Linked DNA regions of Tamandua tetradactyla. The protein of the gene in region 1 purifies or fractionates together with the protein of each later gene. This does not show direct contact. Links are inferred from orthologs where the notes say so. Each region holds a gene or a part of one and is shown in the gene's direction. Other genes may lie near its edges.

Region 1 (9,642 bases):
GTTCGCCAAGAGATGTTTAACGCTATGCCTATGGTGCAATTTGTAAGAAATGCCATTTTAATAGTCTACACTGAGAAAATTCATTGGCTTTATTGAATTTTTCCTCCCTCTTCTGGAAAGGTTTAAGATGATTTAATATATACATATTATATATGACACAAAAAGATAAAATAAGTGAAAAAAATCTATGAAAATAAGGGAAAGGGCCAATAAGGTTGGGGCCAGCAGTGAGGTAGAGCACAACGTTATGAATGAAACCCTATTCATAACGCATAGTAGAGGGGGCCACAAATTCATCTTTAAGATGGAAACACAAGCAGTTATCAGATGCATTGCTCTATGAGATGAATACAAACTATTTGCTTAAAAAGCATGTACAACCTCACTTCAGTCTTAAACCAGAAATAAATGTAAATACAAACCATGAATCATTCATTCATTTATCCATCCATTTCATAAATATTTAATGAGTGAGTACTATATGCCAAATACTGTTTTAGGCTCTGGGGTACATCTGTGCACAAAACAAAATCCTATCCTTATGAAGTGAGGGAAGAGAGATGTAACTCTGAGCAAGTAACTGTGTGCTGGGGATGATAAGTCCTGAGGAAAAAAAATTTGTAAGCACATTTCCCCCCTGGATAACATTGAGCATACAATGTATTTCACTCTTAAGCTTTTCTTTTTCTGGATCTATTAAGACCACTGCTTTTTTTTAATGATATAACACAGATAAGTCTGGAATGGGGTTTGGGCACCCTATTTTCATTGTTTCTTAATTCTTAGAGACTAGTATATAGCTTTCTATTTTTTTTCTATTCTGCTACTCAGAGCCATATTTCTGCTGTAGGCTCCAGTGGATGCTCTCACGATGGGAAAGTTTATGAAACTCAGGTGAGTGGTGCTGGCCCTGCCCAGACACCACTCTGGACACAGAGCCGCCATCTCTAACAGCATCAGCGATGGCTCTACGGCCCTATGGCCATGCCCTGGGGGCTGGAATCACTGCTACCCCTGAAAAGTGTCAGCTGCCCTGAGCAAGAAGAAAATCACCCAGAGATCAAAGATCAAGTCTTTTGTGAAAGTTTATAACCAAAATCACCTCATGCCCACAAGGTACTCTGTGGATATCCCCAGTGGCAAAGCCATTGTTAACAAGGATGTTTTCAGAGCCCTTGCTCAAACACAAGGCCCAGCATGGCGCCACCGTCAAGTTTCTCTGGAAGCTGTGATTTTTAAATGGTTTTGTTTCAATCTTTAAAAATACACAGACACACATAGAATAAATAAGGGGGGTGGGGGCTGAACCGCTCCCGGTGCTGACTTTTGCTGCTGACCCTGAAGTAGTTGGTGGCGGTGGGCCACACCCTCTGGTTGTTGGGTTGTACTTCCTTCCCATTTCACTCCATGTTCCTGGAAGCTGCCCAGGTGGTTGTGGCAGTGGGAGAACATCCCAGATATCTGTTCTCTCCTTCCCGTGGGCCAGCCGTGCTCGGCGTCTCAGTCTGGCGTCCCCACGGGGGGCTCGCACTCGGCGCCTGTGTGCACTGTTCCCAGGGCCAGCAGAATGACAGGCTCCTTGCTGTAGCGGCACCCGAACCAGGAGCCGAGCTGAGCCCTGCATCGGCCCGAGAGGTGGCCGAGGCTGGTGGTGGTGCCACAAAAATGGTCTCCAACAGGTCCCTAAGGCCAAGGAGAAGCATAACGAGAACATCACCCAGTGTGGCAATGTTGCCAAGACCTGGAGAAATGCCCCCGAAGGGTAGGACCCTGGCTATTGGCTTTTCATTTTTTGTTGTTTGTGGCTCTTCGATTTTCCAGATTACATCAGGATGGACATGTGAAATGACTTTAAGATGTTTCCATACTCCTGTGACTTTTAACTTGAACTCAGTCCCGATGTGTGATACTTTGGTTAAAAACAACTCAGTAAAGCATCCTGTCTTGAATGGGGGATTCACCGGGAGAGACATTCTGCTGTGGGAAATTGTTCTAGGGAGGTGGGAGTTTGGACTAGACGAGTGTAGGCATATGTGTGTGTGTGCTCAAGGATTTGAGAATCATGAAATATGAAACTGGAAATGGACTGGAGCTAATCTAATTCAACGTCTTCATTTTACAAATCAGGAACTAAAGCTCAGGTAGGGCACCCTGCCCAAGGTGATGAAGGTATGGATTCTGGCTGTAGATGGGTGATCTTTAAAATATACTAAATTATTCCATCAGAATGGTGGGTGTATTAGTCAGGATTCTCTAGAGAAGCAGAACCAACAGGAGATATCTGTAAATATGAGATTTATAAAAGGGTCTCACGCAAGCAACCATGGGATAAAAAGTCCTGAATCCATAAGGCAGGCTGCTAGGTTGACAACTCCAGTGAAGGGTCTCAATGAACACCACAATAGAGGCTCTTTGGCTGAAAAAGCAGTGAAAATTCTCTCTTCTCCCTTAAAAGTCTCCAATTGATTCAATCAAATCCAATGGATTGGATTATCTTGTTTGTGGGAGGCACGTCCTTAGATGATTATAGATGTAATCTGCCATAGCTGTAGTCAACTGCCTGATGATTTAATAAACCAGCCACGTAATATCCCTGCAGCAATGGTTAGGCTAGTGCTTGCCTGACCAGACAACCAGGCACCATCACCCAGCCAAGTTGACACCCAAATCATCATATTGAGAAAGGAGGAAAAAGAGAAGAAAGGAGTGGAGCCAAGAGGTTGGCAAAATGTTCCATATCAGCACATTTTTTCCCTATGGGAAGTGTGGATGTTCCTTATCAGTATAAGTAGTTGGCAAATGGGATACTTCTTCTGTGGTTAACATTTATTGACCTCTTACTATGTACAGGAACACGGAATACAAAGATGCCCATGCCCTAATCTCCCAAACCTATGGATATGCTACCTTGAAGGGAATTTGCAGCTATGACTGAGGTTACTGACCTTGAGATGGAAGTATTATTATGGATTTTCTCTAAAGGCCCAATCTAATAAACATATGAGTCTTTAAAAGTGGAGACATTTCTTCAGTTATGGTCGAAGAGAGAGAGATGGTGAAAGAAGAGTCTGAGAGACATGATGTTTGAAGAGGGAGGAAGAGAGCTACAAACCAAGGAATGCTGGTGACCTCTAGAAGCTGGTAAAAGCAAGGAAAGGGGTTCTCCCCTAGAATCTCCAGAAATGAACACAGTCTTCCCAACACCTTGATTTTCGTTCAGAGAGGCCCATATTGGACGTTTGACCTACAGAACTATAATTAATTTGTATTATTTAAGCCACCAAGTTGGTGATAATTTGTTACAGCAGCAATAGAAAAATGGTTTGCAGTGTATAAGGACACAATATATTCATGGAAAGTTCAATATCCATAATCCACATTCCCTTTGACAGTCAGTGTGATAAATGTGGAGTCGGACTGATAATAATAACTGATGATCCCTTGTCTCTGTCTTTAGTCAGTTGCAAGACCTCTGGTCTTCTAAAAAGATCCCTTTCATTACTGTCCCTGGGACTCTTCAAAGCAGTGAGGACATCTCATAAATTGTCATCAACCCAATCCCCATTTACTACATAGAGTCCATCCTTTTCTTCCTCTGTCTTGGGCTGCTTCTGGCAGTGTCTACTTTTCTCTCGATGCTTGAGAAGTCCCAGTTAGGTACCAGGCATTGTTACAGAACCTCTACTGCTGACTCTATGTACATATTCCATCAAAGTTGCTGTGTTCCTGTCTGCCAGGGCAAGCCTTCCAGGTAGATGACCCGATCCTGTGGAGCTAACTTCCATCGATGTTCTTCTGTGGGAGGGCAATGTTTGCAGATAAGTTGGAAGACTCCATCTGCTTCACTTTTGCATTAAATTCCTTTGTAACAGTTCTAAAGCAATACTATACATATACCCAAGGTCAAAAATAGTTTTGAGTGAGATTAACCGTTTTTACTTGCACTCCACTTTCCCTGGGACTCAGTTATAAGTCTGTATATATCTTTATTCAGAGCCTATTAAGTATCCAGCTATGTTCTAGGATGCTACAGGAATTATACAAATGAATAAACCAGTCTCTTCCCTCAAGGGGATTAGGGTAACTGGTGAGGTAGAGGAGGAGATTAAATAATATAAAGCTCAGATCAGTTCATCTGGCTTTTATTAATCAGTTTTGGCACGTAGGAACAATTAACTGATGAAACGTCATCCCACTCTTTTCTTAACATGGCCTGTTTTAAAAGAGTTCTGAAGGAAATAAGTATTTCGGTGGAGGAGACTCTAGAGAACTAAAGTATCTTAATCTCTAAACCCTCCACTTTACATAGCACCCAAATTCTTTCTGCTCTAAAGGATGCAAATTTCTGCTTGGTATGCTGTTAATGCTTAACAAATTGGTCATCTATTCAAGTAATCTATGACCTATAGTTCTTTAATAGAACTTGCTATATATATATTATAATATCTAATTTTGAATATCTAATTTGAAAGCTATGCTCTTTCTAGATATTCTGTGATTGTAAATTTCATGTTGGTAGGTAACATAACTACCTGTTCACCACTGTATCTCCAGAAAAACCCGGCATATAATGGGTGTTTAAAAAACATATCGTAATGAATGACTGATTACTTACTCTTGGGATTTTTATTTTCACTTATACCTTAAAGATTCCCCCAATTAGCAACCATCGTAAACAGTATCTTATATGACGTAAAGGCAAGGGCGGAGGGGACGAATCAACTTTGAAGTTCTAACCTAGATCATTTTAAGTAACAATGAAAGCAACTGCTATGGGGTGGGACAAGAGGTGGCGCTGTTGCCCTTTTCGCATAGCTTTCCGTTTCCACCTTGAACCGAGTTTATTTTATACTTCACCGACTTGCAATCACTAGGGTAGGAAATGAGTACGTAGACCACCCCAAGCCCAGCGTTCACAGTTTCAGCGGAGGTTTCCTGCTGGCTGGTGTGTGGTGAGTGCGGGAAACCCCGGAGCCCGCACACTTCCCGTTGTGGGGAGGCTACCCAAATTCCATCCTCGCCTAGCGGCCACGCCCCACGGTGGGAAGGCGGGACTGAAAAGCATTTCCTTGAGGCTGGCATACATTGCCCTACCCAAACCGTCATGTGTATATTTATATGTTTTTTTTTCCCGGCAGGACCAATTCCATCTGAAACCAGAGTGCCCGGAGGAGGGACACGGTAGCGAACGGGGACTTTGGGGGTAAGGAAGGGTGGAAGGGGGGATAAGATGCCAGTGATGCAGCTAGCTCTGGACTTGACTTTGGGGAAGAAAAAGAAAAAGGAGGTGGCCGGGAGTGGGACGGTTGTGATCAGCTCGTTGTGTTTTATGTAAACAAAAACAAACTATAATAACCAGATGAATTAACCTGTACACATTTCCCTGGAACAAACATCTTGAAGTTTTTGGCTTCTCTGTTTTTAAGAAACTATACCTGACTCAGCGGTTTGGTGAAAAGAGCAGCTGCAAGAAAAAAAAAAACAGTGATGAGGGGCCTTTGTTATTCCTGAGAAGGGCAATCGGGAGAGGGAAGATAAAAACAGTGCTCGTGAAGAAATTATTTGTTGGCTTGTCAGGTTACATAGCCTTCGACCGTGTGGCCTTGGGATCACTGCTCTCAGGTTCAGCTTCAGCTGTTAAGAGTAAATGAGAATGCCATTACCTTCCAGAGTGATTGTGATATTTAAAGAGATTATGTAGCAATGCTTTAAAAACTGTATAAAGTGATATGTTCTTCCTTGTTGACTAGGATTTCTGTTTTCTTGTAGTGTCTTCTCTTTTTCTGTCTCGCCTTTCTCACTATCAACCCTTCAACTTCATTCCCATTTTGAACCTTTTCTTTCCCTTTCATTTCCTATGCCTCCTTCTGGGATTTTTAACCTCCTTCTATAATGAATCCTCTTTTCCATCTGAGGTTTCTTTCAGATTTCCCATTACTATCCATTTCTGAAGTGAGGAAATAAAAAGTTGAGTTGCTCAATTGTGCAGCTCGCCCAAATTGACATGCACCTGGAAATAAAACTTTGTAGGAGTTGACCTCGTCAGTGCCCCAGAATCTCTGCTCACAGCCGGGTCATCCAGGCCTTTCAAATAGACATTGTGAAGTATTTTCATCAATGAAAACGCCATCAGTTTTCTCTGGGGCCTCCATTACTAAGTATCTAATTATTCACGTGCTCAAAGTTAGTTGAGCATGGCTGTCTTCTGCAGAGGCATTGTTTTCCCACCTTCCCCACCTCATCACAACCAGCCCCAAAAAGCTTATGCTCTAAACTTCTGCCTGGATCTGTGGATGCTGCATCTCCCTTTTGTTTTAACCTGAGCATGTGTGTCTGAAATGGGTCTCAGTGACCCAAAATCAAAGTGTGAGAAGGGCTTCATTCTTTTCTGGAGGCTCTAGGGTAGAATCCATTCATGCCTTTTCCACCTTCCAGAGGTTTTGGCTTCCTCTGTTCTCAAAGCCAGTAATGGCCAGTTGAGTCTCACATCACGTTATTCTGATACACTTCTGCTTCCTTTTTCCACATTTAAGGACCCTTGTGATTACATTGGGCTCACAGAAATAACCTAGGGTAGTCTCCTTATTTTAAAGGCAGTTGATTAGCAAACTTAATTCAATCTGCAACCTTAATTCTCCTCTGCCATGCAACCTAACACATTCACAGGTTTGGGGATTAGGGCAGACATCTTTAGTGGGGGAGGTCGAGGGGATTTTCTTTCTGCTACACCTGAGTTTTCTCTGGCTGGGTTCTCTTTATTGAGTTCCTGTCCTGTTTTTGCAATGAAGGATCACCATTTGCCTGCTGTAGCAATCAAACTTTGTATCCCTTTATCTGGAAAAACAGCATGCTGCCAGATGACAGAATTAAAATGTTTCCCACTGAGCAGAAGCCTGGGTGCCATGATACTTCCCATATAACACTACTGAAAATTATTCTTTATTCCCCCCTTGTATCCCTAGTGTTATAGTTAAATCCTTTAAGCCTGATTGATTACTATAGGTTATTTTTTAAAAAGATTTCCCTTCAAATCAAATTCTATTTTTATAGATGAATTTAGTTATTTTTATTCAACAGGCATATGAATCTTGATATGTGCCAGTCACTATTCTAGATGCTAGAGATACAGTTGTGAACACAAATTGCCAAAAAGACCCTATATTCTTGTTCTCATGAAAGTTTCAATCTTTTTTTTTCCAATTTTGTCACTTCATGTTTTTCTCCCTACCAGCTTAGGTTTAGTTGGTCTCCATCTGATTTTAGATGGGCTACTGCTCTCTACCTACTCTGGGGCTGTGCTAATGAGGGAAATAAAAAAAGAAGATGACTGAATTCTCAAGGAAATTACTATTTGGGAAAGAACAGGTTATAATAGACACATTGATAAGTGCTGAATACATAGACTGGGTATTAAATTCTCAGTATTGGTACATTATGTCTTGCTCAAAGTTTCTAACTGGGGAAAACAAAAGGAGAAAGAAATGAATATGCACAAAGGAAAATCGGCTAATTACACAGACATTGGTAAGGAGTGGAAAGAGTTCTGTCCTGAGTCTTGGGAGCTGAAATCTGTTTTAAACTCCTACATTCTCTTTGTGAGCAAATAACAAGGCATCTACCTCAGTAGCCCTTCATTGTTTCTTTTATCTTTTACTCAGAAAATGAAGGGTAGATTAGGAAATCTCTGGGGATTGTTCCAGGTTTAAAAAAGAAATCTTTGATGTTTGAACTTCTCAGCATTTCTTTGAGTTTCCTAACTAGAATAATAATGAGGAGATAGGCTTAAGTTTAGTTGGGGAGAGTCAGCACTGGACAAGGAAAGGCAGATGGGGATGGAGTAAAGGGGTTTACCTTCGCCTCAATCCCATTTTCTAAGACTGCTCTTCCTCAATTCAGGTAGCCTTCTCCTCTACTTTTCCCACCCCACACCTTTGGGTAAATTGGGCAGGGTGAATTCCAGCTTATCATATTGTGAATACCAATTTCTAAGACTGAGGAACAGTAGGATTTCCAGGTGCTCAATCCTTCTTTAGCCCCAATTCAATGTTTTCTCATTTATAATAAGTCTTGGCATTGTGGTAGCAAGGCATATAGATAAACAATTCTTGACAATTACCATGGTCAAAGCAAATTGAAAACAATGATTGCGTTTTTCAGACCTGTAGCTTCATATTTTTATGGACTAAATTACTGTCTAGGTTTGTAAATGAAAGCAAAAGCTGCTTTGAGTTTTTTTTCTACAACTATTTTAAGCCCTCATCCATGGTGAACTGTCCTATCTTCTTTATGCTATCAAAAGTAGTTGCTAAAATTGTTCCTGTAACAGAGTATGTTGCGATGAGGGCATTATTTCTAGAACATTGATCTACATGAAAAGTATTATAAATGTAAAATTCTAGCCTAAGTTAGTTATAATTCTATTAAGAACATATAGTGGTAGATGCTAAAGGTTTAATTTAGAAAATGTGTCAAAATGTACACTGTGGCCATAGGAAAACCTCATAATATGACAAAATACTCAAATATGACAAAATACTCAAAATATGACAAAATACTCATATTTTGTCGCGTAGGTTTATGGTGAAAGCTTCAAAACAATTATCTGAAATCTTGCACACAGATGTTCAATGATTTAACCAGATGACCCTGTCTTTGGGTAAATGCATAGTGCTATGTTGCACAACTCCAGAGACAGCATTTATGCTATATTCATATTATAGCATATATATATTCATATTATAGCATATATATATATATATATATATATATATATATATATATTTCACCAACTGAATGGTGAAAAATAATTGCTAAAGGTGATAACTTGGGGTTCCGAGAAGTCAATCCTAAGCCTTTTTTTTTCTGATATTAATTAGCCATCAGGACCAATTATATGCCAAAGCTAGTTTATATCGGATAAAGGACTTCTTTATCAACTTCTCTAAAGTCTCTCAAGTCAGATTGGGCTGTTTTGGCCCAGACAAGGAAAACCCCTGGTTGACCTCTGCCTAAGTGCTGCATGATCCCTCTTTAGCCTGGACCCCAAATTTAGTGCTGCCTCAGGGTAGTGAGCAGCACTTGTTTATTTGAGTGGTATGAGCCCGACTTGTGGTTCAGGGAACAAGGAAAGGGGGTTAAGAGAATGCCAAAACTCTATCCTGACCACCCAGTTTCCCATCAAGTTTATAACTACATCCCATAAATTCAGCCGGTCTAGTCTGAAACCAGGTGGCTGCCCTGTGTTCTACTTCTGTGGGCTTTCCCCGTAAGTCTCACGTAATACCTGACGCCTTTAGTGTTCCTTGGGATATCTTATTAGGAGTCAGAATGAATTCTGATGGAAGAAGGGAGAAGCGTATTTACTAAATATTCTTAAAGCTGCCAGCAATGAGGAAAAAAAAAAAAAAAGCAAAAACAAAAAACCAGACACACCTGGAATATATAATCTCCAGTCTTCAACCTTAGACATGTATAGGGTAGAGATTTTCGGAGGGAAGTCCAGACACGTGAACATCCTAAAGCCTCGGCAAGCAGAAGAAACTGCAAAAGTACATGCGCCTGATGAATTCCAAGAACCAGGATTTTGCCCCTCATTCTCATCCCTACTTCAGTGAACAATAAGCAACTAAATTTCCAGCCAAC
Region 2 (9,675 bases), on another chromosome or scaffold:
ATTCCTTCTCTTCTTGGATTAAGCTGCCTAATCCGTGAAATGGGCACTAGTGAGCAGTGGGGGCGGGATCAACAATGAGAAAGCGCCGCTCCAAGTGTGGGATCAGTTGCAATTTATTGGTGTTCAGGGTGGGGCATGGGAGCTTTGGGGCCGGATGGTGGGGGGTGGGGGTCCGTACAGGTCCGGCTAGGGCACCAGGATCAGCAGGACTCAGGATGCCACCAGGGTCTCTGCAGAAAGGAGACCTGCACCGGCCCCCACGAGAGCCAGGGCCAACTTGCAGTCAGCCCCGGCTGTAGGCGTCATACGCATCCTTCTCCTCGACCAGCTGTGGCTCTTGGGGTTTGTCCAGTGTGGCCACCCAGCAACACCCCAGGGGCACTATCTTGGTGGGTTATCTCTGCCTATGACGCATGCCCGGGCCCGCGCACCCGCAGGTGGGTGGAGGACCCATACCCCGGGCATGAGGTCCAGCCAGGGCATCTCCAGCAGCAGGGACGGCCGGGGATCCCTCCGGCAGCTCTGCAGGCCCTGCAGCAGGTGGTGCGAAGGAAATGGGGTGGATGGGGGGCCTGCATGGGACAGCCATGAGTTGAATGCAGAACCAACTAGAACGAGATTACCTACGTGGCCTGGTAAGCCCCCACCCTGCCAAGCCTCAATCTCTGCACCTGCTAAATGAACCTGCCTCCCACGACAGGACACTTACCAGCCGCCTGACAAACAGCCTTTCCGTGAGCGCCACAAGTCCGGGTGGCCCAAGTCCGGGTGGCCCAGGGCAGTACTGGCCATACCAGCCCCCGAGCCCCTAAAGATGGCCGGTGCGACTGAGAAACCGGATGTTTTGCTTTATTTCATTTTCATTAATTCAAATTTTAAAAAATCTAAAACTGACTGTTCTGTTTTTGGAAAACTTTTACATATATGTGAAGGGCTTGGGTGCATGTGACTCCGTTTCAACGTTAAGCTTTATGGACTCTAGATGCGCTTCAAGTGTTTTCGGAGAAATGTGGATATGTGAGACCTGGTAGAAAAGCAGAGATCATGAATGATCTCGTTAAGAAGTTTCCATATTGATCACATGTCCAGATTATATTTTGGATTTATCAAGTTACATAAAAAAATCACCTGTTCCCAAAAAAAAAAAAAGTCACTTGTTCCCATTGACTTCTTTCAACGTGGCTGCTAGAAAATTTTAAAGTATCTGAGTGGTCGGTAGGGTTTGCGTTATCTTTCCATCGGGAGAGAGTCCGGCCACCTCCAGCCGCCTGCCTTCCCGCTGCGAGTTAAAAATGATTTTTACATTTTGAAGCGGTTGAAAAAAATAAAAAGACTAATATTTCACAACACAAAATTCAAGTTTCAATGTAATAAAACTGTCAATAAAGCTTTATTGGCACACAGCTGTGCGCACTGATTTCTAATCATTTAGGGGGATGCATGCTACAAGGGTGAGAACTGAGTAGTTAGGACAGACTTTCTGGGCTGCAAAGATGAAAATACAAACTATCTGGTCCTTTGCAGAAAAAGTTTACCGTCCCTGGGTCTGGGCTCTCGGAGCACCCTGGAACCCCAGATATCAGTTCTGGAAACTTCCTGGACCTGTGCCTGAGAAGCTTTGACTTCCAGAATGGAATAGTAATTGTATTATATAGAATTGTAAAATAATTCTGCATAATTCTACAACCTCAATGCTCCCCACCTTGGGGCCTGGGTTCGAATCCCTGCTCCTGGCTTGGCTGCGGGTGGGTACCCGTTGCAAGGCCCCTCTATGCCTCAGTCTCCGCTAATGTAAAATGGGGGTGACCAGACGCTCCTATCCGGAGCGGAGATAAGGGGTGAAGATGCTGCACTCTTAGGTATTCTGGCCCCAGCAGCTGGGTGCTCTCGCCAAAGGAGAGTATGGGGCCCTGCCCGGCTGGACACCCTCCCCCCATGGCACTCACCCACGCTCGGGAGCCTGTGAGATTTGTGGCGTGGTGGCGTCTTGACAGAGTGGGGCTCCGAAGTGGGGACATGGTGATGCCCTCGGGATGGGGCTGCTGGGGTGACCTTAGGGCCCCAGGGTCTTGGCAACTGGGCTAAGGAGCCGCAGCTACAGGGGGGTCCCAGGGAGCAGCCCCCTGGGTGGCCCTGTCCCTACAGATCCCGGGCTTTGCATGGGATCCTGGGGGGTTAGGGCAGGACCCCAGCCTGGGCTCCCAGCCAGGGCTTTGGGTGACTTCTGGTGGGGATGCAGATGCTTCCCCTGCACCCTACCTTTCGGATCCAGCTGGGCGGTCAGCCCAGCTCGCTCCTGCTGCTTCCTGGCCAGGACACCTGCTGGGAGCAGCCATCCTACAACAACATCGACGACAAGGCAGGGAGAATAATAATAGAACTCAAGCAGAGGCCGCTGCCTCTGGGCTCAGCTCGGGAGCTTCCCACGGCCAGCGCCTCCCCTCAACAAACAGGTCCTCCATGCCCCGTGCCACCCCCCTCATCCCTTTGCCCTAACCCCAGTTCCTGCTCGGAGGACACCTTCTTAAGGAGCCTCCTTGAGGCGCTAACGGAATAATTCACAACCTGCTCCCACCCCAATGCCATCGGCACCCCCAAGGCAGGTAACGGGAATGCCCCAGCACACTCTGGCCTCCAGCTCATCTTCAGATTTCTCCAGATGCCTCCAGATGGCCCAGTGGTGTTGTCTTTTGTTGTTCTCTGTGTGTGTGTGTGTTGTTTCTTCCGGTCTAGATTTAGAAGCATCCCCCAGAAAATCTGTCATTTTAACCATTTTTAAGAGGACATGTCAGTGGCACGAATTACATTCACAGTGTTGTATTGCCAACACAGCTATTCTATGAAACTTGTCATTGCCCCAAACAGAAGAAACCCCATGCCCATTAGCAGTCACCCCACAAGCCCCCACCCCCGCCCACAGTCCCCGGAGACCACGAATCCTCTCTCTCTCTCTCTGGATTTGCCTGTTCTGGACATTTCAAAATAATAGAGTCATTTTGCCTGCATTTAATAATAATAATAATAATAATAATAATAGAGTCAGACAGTGTTTGGCCTTTTGTGTCTGGCTTCTTCCACCGAGCACCAAATCTTCAGGATTCATTTGGTTGTAGCATGGACTGGAACTTCAGCCCTTTTCAGAGCTTTATAACATGCCGTAGCGTGCACAGCCCACATTTTGCTGGTCCATTCCACTGGTCTGTGGCAGACACCCAGGGGGTTCCACCTGTTGGCAACTGGGAATCAGGCTGCGATAAATAGTGGTATTCAGCCATCTGCCCAGGCTCCTGCTTCCAGTCTTTTCCGATTCTCCTTGGACGTGGGACTGCAGGGTCATGAGGTCATTCTGCTTAACTTTTTAAGGAACTACAAAACTGTTTCCCATGGTGGCTGTAGCATTTCACATCCCAACAGGGTGCAAGGGCTCCTATATCTCGGTACCCTCTCCGACGCATGTTACTATTTAGCTATTCTATTCCAGCTGTTCTGGGGGTACATCATGGTGCTTTTGATTTGCATTTCCCTGGTGGCTGATGACATGGAGCATTTTCCCATGGGCTTGTTGGCCCTCTGCACACCTGCTTTGGGGAAATGTATATTTAAGTCTTGGCCCGGTGTTTAATTGGGGCTCCTGTGTGACGGTATCTCTTTCTGGAGGCCGGCAGTTGCTTGGCAGCCTTGCCAGCAATTGAACTTGTTCTCGAATGCCGTGTTTGTGCTAACATGGTCTAGACCTGTGCTGACCACTATGGCCTCCCCTCGCCTCCTGTGTCTATTTAAACCTGAATTCAATGAAATGAAATGTAAAGTTCGGTTCCTCTGGTGCAATAACCACATTCTCCATGTTTAGGAGCCCAGTGGCAGCCTCATTTGTGGGATATGCTGAACCCAAGGCTTCATGGGCCTTCTCAGGGTGGAGGTGGGGAGCTGGTTGCCTCTGCTGGCTTCAGGTCAGAGGTCGTGATGCCTCTCAGCAGTGAGGCTGGGCTTGGCACCTTGGTCAAGGCGTTGTTCTTCAGGTCTCTCCGTTGAGAAAGTTGATTTTATTTCTCCTTTTGCAATTAACGCAGAAGCTGGGGAGTGATTCATAATAATTTCAACAATCTACATATTGAGTGCCTACTGTATGTCAAGAGGAGTGTCCATTTAACAGAAAGGGAATGGCTTTGGCATTCTAGTCTTGGTAAGGGCCCCATCTGTCTGTCCATCTCAAGGGTGGGATGCTTCCAGGATTCTGAAAACTAGCCAGTTAGATCTGGAAGTTTGTTAGCCTCCAGGTCACCCCCTTCCTGAGCACCCAATCTGATTCGGAAGGTGACAGCTTATCTACCTGCTTCCTGCTTGGTACCTGAGCTCTGGAAAGGTGGGACCCAGCCAGCATGCCCGTGCTGTGTCCTGGGCACACTGCACAGGCCTTGAGGTGCGAGAAGACCATTTCCCTCTATTTGCAGCAGGACTCTGCGCCCAGCTTCCCTTTCCCCGGGGCTGCACAAGTCTCTTTGCCCCCTGTCAGTCCTGTCTCCTTCTTCCCCCTGCTTTTCCAGGCCTCCTGCTGTGGCTAGCCACCCCCATCAAGCTTTGGGGCGTCTGAGTAGAGTCTCTTTCAGCACCTGGCATACAGCAGGCGTTCAGTGAGTATAGGTTCCTAATTTTCCCGGTCGCTAGAAGGCACGGAGGACTTTCAAAGACGAATAACGAAACCAAGTGGGGCGGGGGGGGGCGTCGGCGCCTCTCGAGGACTCTGTCCTTGAATGCCAGGTGCAAGCCGTCCTGTAGCCTGGCCCCGGGTGGTGGGATCCAGCCTCCGCGCGCTTCTGGGAGAGGGGGCGCGGATGTCCCGTAGGGAGTGCACGCAGCGTGGAGAGAAGTGTTCAAATACTTTTGGCGGCGCCTGCCGCAAAGGGCGGGAACTTCGCAAAAATATGGAACGCTTCACGAATTTGCGTGTCATCCTTGCGCAGGGGCCATGCTAATCTTCTCTGTATCGTTCCAATTTTAGTATATGTGCTGCCGAAGCGAGCACAAATCTGGTGATCCAGGCAGTCGTATATAAAGGTCTCAATATTTCGTTCTTTACAGTTAGGTCAACCACCTGTAGGTGTATATTTAGCAAAATTTTCTAGAACGCAACTTTAAGGGATATATTGTATGGTCACATTGACTTTAGATGTGTTTAATCACTCCGAAATCCTCAGCTGTGCCTTAATCCGCCGCCCGCACGCGCGGCCTCGCAGCCGCGGAGTCTTCTGGGATTCAACATGCAAAATAACCTGGCCTCGCGCCGCCCCGTCCCCGGCACCGGCGAGCCCAGCGGCCGAGTGCAGGGGCGGGGCCGCCGCGGGCTGGCCGCCGACATCCCAGCGTTCTCCGCGGGCGGGAGTGGGGGCCCGCTCTTGCCCGTCGCGGCTACTCGCTGGCGTCAGCAGGGCCGCGGAGGCGGAAGATGGCGGCGGCGGCCGGGCGGCGGTGAGCGTTGGAGGTGGTGGTGGTGGCGAGCATACAGGCGATGGCGGCCGGGAGGCGCCCTCGGAGATCCGCGGGCCGTTAGGGCGTGACGCTGGGCGGCATGTCGGAGCACGCGGCGCCCGGGGCCCCGGGGCCCGGGCTCAACGGCGGCGGCCCGGCCCCCGCTCGCGGACCTCGCACCCCCAACCTCAACCCCAATCCGCTCATCAACGTGCGCGACCGGCTCTTCCACGCGCTTTTCTTCAAGATGGCCGTCACATACTCGCGGCTCTTCCCACCCTCCTTCCGCCGTCTCTTCGAGTTCTTTGTGCTACTCAAGGTGACCGTGACCCCCGACCCCGACCCCTGACCTCGGCCGGCACGCCGAGCCCCCCTCCTGGGGCATCCTACCTCACCCCGGAGGCTTGGGCCCGGCCGGAGTGATTAGGGCTCCCCCGACCCCGGCAGGCCCCCATGAACCCGGTGCCTGGATTCTCACCTACCCCGCCTCCCCTGGGAACCCTCTGATCCTCACTTGGGACCCTTCCCGCGGCCTTCTGGATCCCACCCCTTTTCTGGAAGGCCAGCCCCGACCGGTTAGGGAATCCCTTCCACACCCCTGACTCTTACGTTTGGGATCCTTAGCCTCCCCCGCCCCCACCGTCACTCCTCCCCTTCCCGGCCACGCTGCTACCCACTCCCCCAGGACACAGTGCACTGGAGATCCCCATTCCATCTCTTCCTCCCCCTTCCCCCTTCCCCTTTCCCTGGCAAGGGGATGGTCCACCTGCCCCCCACCCTGATTCTCCCTCCTTTGAGCCTCTTAGAAAAAGCTGACTTAGCTGAGGTCACTTCACTAGAGTCACTGGCAGTCTCAGGTGGCACTCGCTGCCTCCCCGCCTCGCTTGCTCACCGCTTAGCACTTGGGCTGGGACTGGTTGAACCAGGTCTCTCTTTGTCCTCCTTCCTCTCTGAGCCATCAGTCACTGTTGTACCCTGTGCTCTGGCTCCTTCAGTCCTCCCTCCCTCCGACAGAGGCTTCTGCCATGAAGGCAGCTCCCAAAACAGCAACATGAGGGCCGTGCAGGAAAGGCCAGGGCAGTCTGTGGCCTGTCAGAAAGGCACTGGCGTGGGGCGCTGCTTGGGCACAGGGCTCCTGACGGCTGTCACCTGACACATCTGAGAGGACAGAGCAGTGACCATTTCCACAGAGGCGTCGCTGAGGAAGCAGTCGAGACTGTGGAGGATTTAGCTGGTGGGTGTGGGTGGAGTTACCAGCCTGACCCAGATGGGCCAGGATCTGGCTGGTTCTGCTGCATGGGGAGGAAGGGGCATGAGCCCTGTGGTCCAGTGACCTGGGTGCAGGTCCTAGCCCTGCCCCTGAGCCTTCAGCCCCTCGTCTGCGAAATGGGTTCACAGTGAGTAGCTGGCCTTCTTAGGCCGGCTCAGCCCAGCTATCTACCTGCAGCCCGCCTGCCGGCCTGGAGGCTAACTGAATTAGGGTCCCTCTATCAGGCGTCCTGACTCCACTTCAGCCTGAAGTTATTGGCAGAGGTTTGTCTGGGGGTGCGTCTTTTCCTTAAGAACAACAACAGTTTAGCTGACCCGGGACCCAGGAAGGTCCCGCTGCATGTGGACAGGGCCCCACCTGGGACTCAGCTTCCTGAGAGCACAAGCTTGGCTCTGGCCGCACCGGGCTCTGATTGGGGAATGCAGCACGTGTTTGCACCAACCTGGTAGAGAATTCTTTCACCACCAGAAGCGCTTCATGCTGTTGTTTAAATGGGGCTGGAGCTATGGCCAGAGGTCTGCACCCAGCAGCTGAGCCCAGTGCCTTAGGAGTTTGGAGATGGAAAGGCTGTGTGGCCTCTGGCCAGACTCCAGCCCCACCCCCTTGCCTCTGTCACCCGGGATGCTGGACTACCCATCCCTGTGGTGGAGCCAGGAGGCTGGGGATTGCTGTGGATCTGCTCCAATCCCCTGGTGCCTCCCCTGCAGAGTAAGGGCCTGGATCTCTGAGCGTGCTGGAGGTTGCAGAAAGCTCTGGTCTTTGTTTCCTGCCGCCTGACTTCCCATGTATTCACTGAAAAGGCAGACCTTCGTGACCACTTCCTCTTGTGGTACCTTCAGTCTGCAGCCTAGGGGCTAGCCCAGACCCTGCCCTGCCTGCCATGACTGCACTGTGGTGTAACTTTTGGGGACCAGCTATACGTTCCTGCTGCAGGGGAGGTGGCTCCAGTCCCCTGGGGGTTGTCGTTAGAGGCCCCCACATCCCTGGCTGCTGGTTTCCATGGCACAGAGGCTGGGAGCAGCAGGCTTCAGGGGTCCAGGCCTATCTACTTCTCTCTGGACCCCGGGCAGCTGCTGAGCAGACACCACAGGGGAAGGGGGCTGACGTATTGGTGGGTCCTGTCAGGTTGGCTGTTATGTCCTGTGGGTGGGAGGAGATGATTCCCCCATGCTCTCAGGGTAGGAGGGGTGCCCCCAGCAGGGTTGGGGATATCCCAGAGGCACTCCTGAGAGCTGGGATTCAGCTGCTGTCTTTGCCTCTCTCGGGGAAGGCATGGGGTCCCAGCATGGGCTTCCTGCCAGTCTAACACCCAGAGGGGCCTGGGCAGTTCTGCCTGCCCCCTTCCCCATCTGTGCGGAGACAAGGCATTGGAGCCCTGGGTGGCCGTGGTGGCCTGTGACCCAAGGGCACCCGAGAGGCTTCCTGGAGGAGGTGTTAGAGACTTAGCCCTGGGGTCGGTGGAGTGTGAGCATGTGTCCCAAACATGGGTTTTCTGCTGGGCTCTGGGGCACAGCAGTGCATGGGATGCCACGGAAGGCAGGACGTGTGCAACGGCAGCTGGGGAGGGTGAACCTGGCAAGGGTGTCTTGAGGTGAGGGTGGAGAGGGGTGAGTGTGCAAAGGCCCTGGTGCCCCAAGCATTCTGGCTGGGACGAGGTGGGGTCCTGGGGTGGGAGTCACCTACACAGGCCATGGAGTGGGCTGTGCAGGATGCTGGGCCCCTTGCCCAGTGGCTCAGCGAAGGCTCCTGCCATCCTTGGGGAGGTAAGTGGTGCCTCTGGCTGGTGGTTGACAGACTGGGTGTGTTGCTGCCTGCTCTAGGGATGGAGAAACCAAGGGCAGGCTATGCAGCTGCTGGGCTGTAGGCCTGGTCCTGCCCCAACTGGGGTTGGCTTGTGCAGCTGTGGGTGGTGAAGGGACCATGAGGTGGCCAGGCCATGGCATTGGGAGTGTTGGTGGCCTCTCAGTGGCGTCTGTGTGGTGGACCCAGGTCTTGCTGGGCATGGCAGGACCTTCTGGAAGCCTTCCCTTTTCCCTTTTCAGGACCGGCTGCCCCTGCCCCTTCTGGTGTGCAGAGTGTGTGCCCACATCCTGGCTGCCGCCTTGGGCACCAGGTCATGCTACTCAGCTACTGCCCTGCCAGCCCTGCCTCGTGGCTCTGCTTGCAGCGGGGATTTGGGGCACGTTTGGGACCTTGTGCGCGCTCACAGTGTTGAACAGGCAGTGTGGGAAAGCCCCAGCTCCTCTGTGCCTCAGTTTCCTTGTCTGCAAACCAGGGTGACCATGGGAAGCACTGTTTAAGCTTCTAGTTCCACCCCCTTAGCCTGGAATGATAGCCCTAGCAGGAGGGTTGACCGTCCCTCGCAGTTCCAGCTGACCCTGCAGGCCCAGGAAGGGCCGATGGGTGCCCAGCTGGGTTAGGAAGGCTACTTTTAGGGGGTGAGGTTAGGGCAACTCTGAGGACAAGGCAGAAGTTTAAACAGGGGCCAGCCAGGGGACTCTGGGGTGCCTGCCTGACTGCGGGGGTGGTGGCTCCTGGACAGAGCCTTGTGCTGAGCTGCCAACTGCCGGTCGGGTGGGCCCCAGCGGCTCCTGCGAGGGCTTGGCTGGCTCATAGCACAGCCACTCAGGCGGTCCTGGCTTTGCCGTGGACCCCCGGCCTGCGCCCTGGCCTTCTGACTGCGGCCCACTGCCCCCAGGCGCTGTTTGTGCTCTTCGTCCTGGCCTATATCCACATCGTCTTCTCGCGCTCGCCCATCAACTGTCTGGAGCACGTGCGGGAGCAGTGGCCGCGTGAGGGCGTGCTGCGCGTCGAGGTCCAGCACAACTCTAGCCGCGCGCCCGTCTTCATGCAGTTCTGTGACGGCAGCAGCCGCGGACACTTCCCTGGCCTGGCTGTGGAGCCAGCCAGCAGCCTTGAGCTGGAGGAGGAGGAGGAGG

Evidence for each region.
Region 2: the proteins of STYK1 (region 1) and TMEM259 purify together in Homo sapiens (affinity purification with mass spectrometry; 3 studies listed by BioGRID and IntAct, with this or other methods). This does not show direct contact. The link is inferred for Tamandua tetradactyla from reciprocal best matches to the Homo sapiens genes STYK1 and TMEM259.

What each region holds. Positions count from the first base shown.
Region 1 is NC_135333.1:73,293,589-73,303,230, reverse strand, and holds the start of STYK1 (tyrosine-protein kinase STYK1), read left to right. Parts: upstream 1-4,742; 5' UTR 4,743-4,952; intron 4,953-5,021; exon of another isoform or gene 5,022-5,040; intron 5,041-5,138; 5' UTR 5,139-5,181; exon of another isoform or gene 5,182-5,203; intron 5,204-9,642. UniProt on the Homo sapiens protein: Probable tyrosine protein-kinase, which has strong transforming capabilities on a variety of cell lines. When overexpressed, it can also induce tumor cell invasion as well as metastasis in distant organs.
Region 2 is NC_135337.1:81,996,305-82,005,979, forward strand, and holds the start of TMEM259 (membralin), read left to right. Parts: upstream 1-5,349; 5' UTR 5,350-5,566; coding exon 5,567-5,785; intron 5,786-9,434; coding exon 9,435-9,675. UniProt on the Homo sapiens protein: May have a role in the ERAD pathway required for clearance of misfolded proteins in the endoplasmic reticulum (ER). Promotes survival of motor neurons, probably by protecting against ER stress.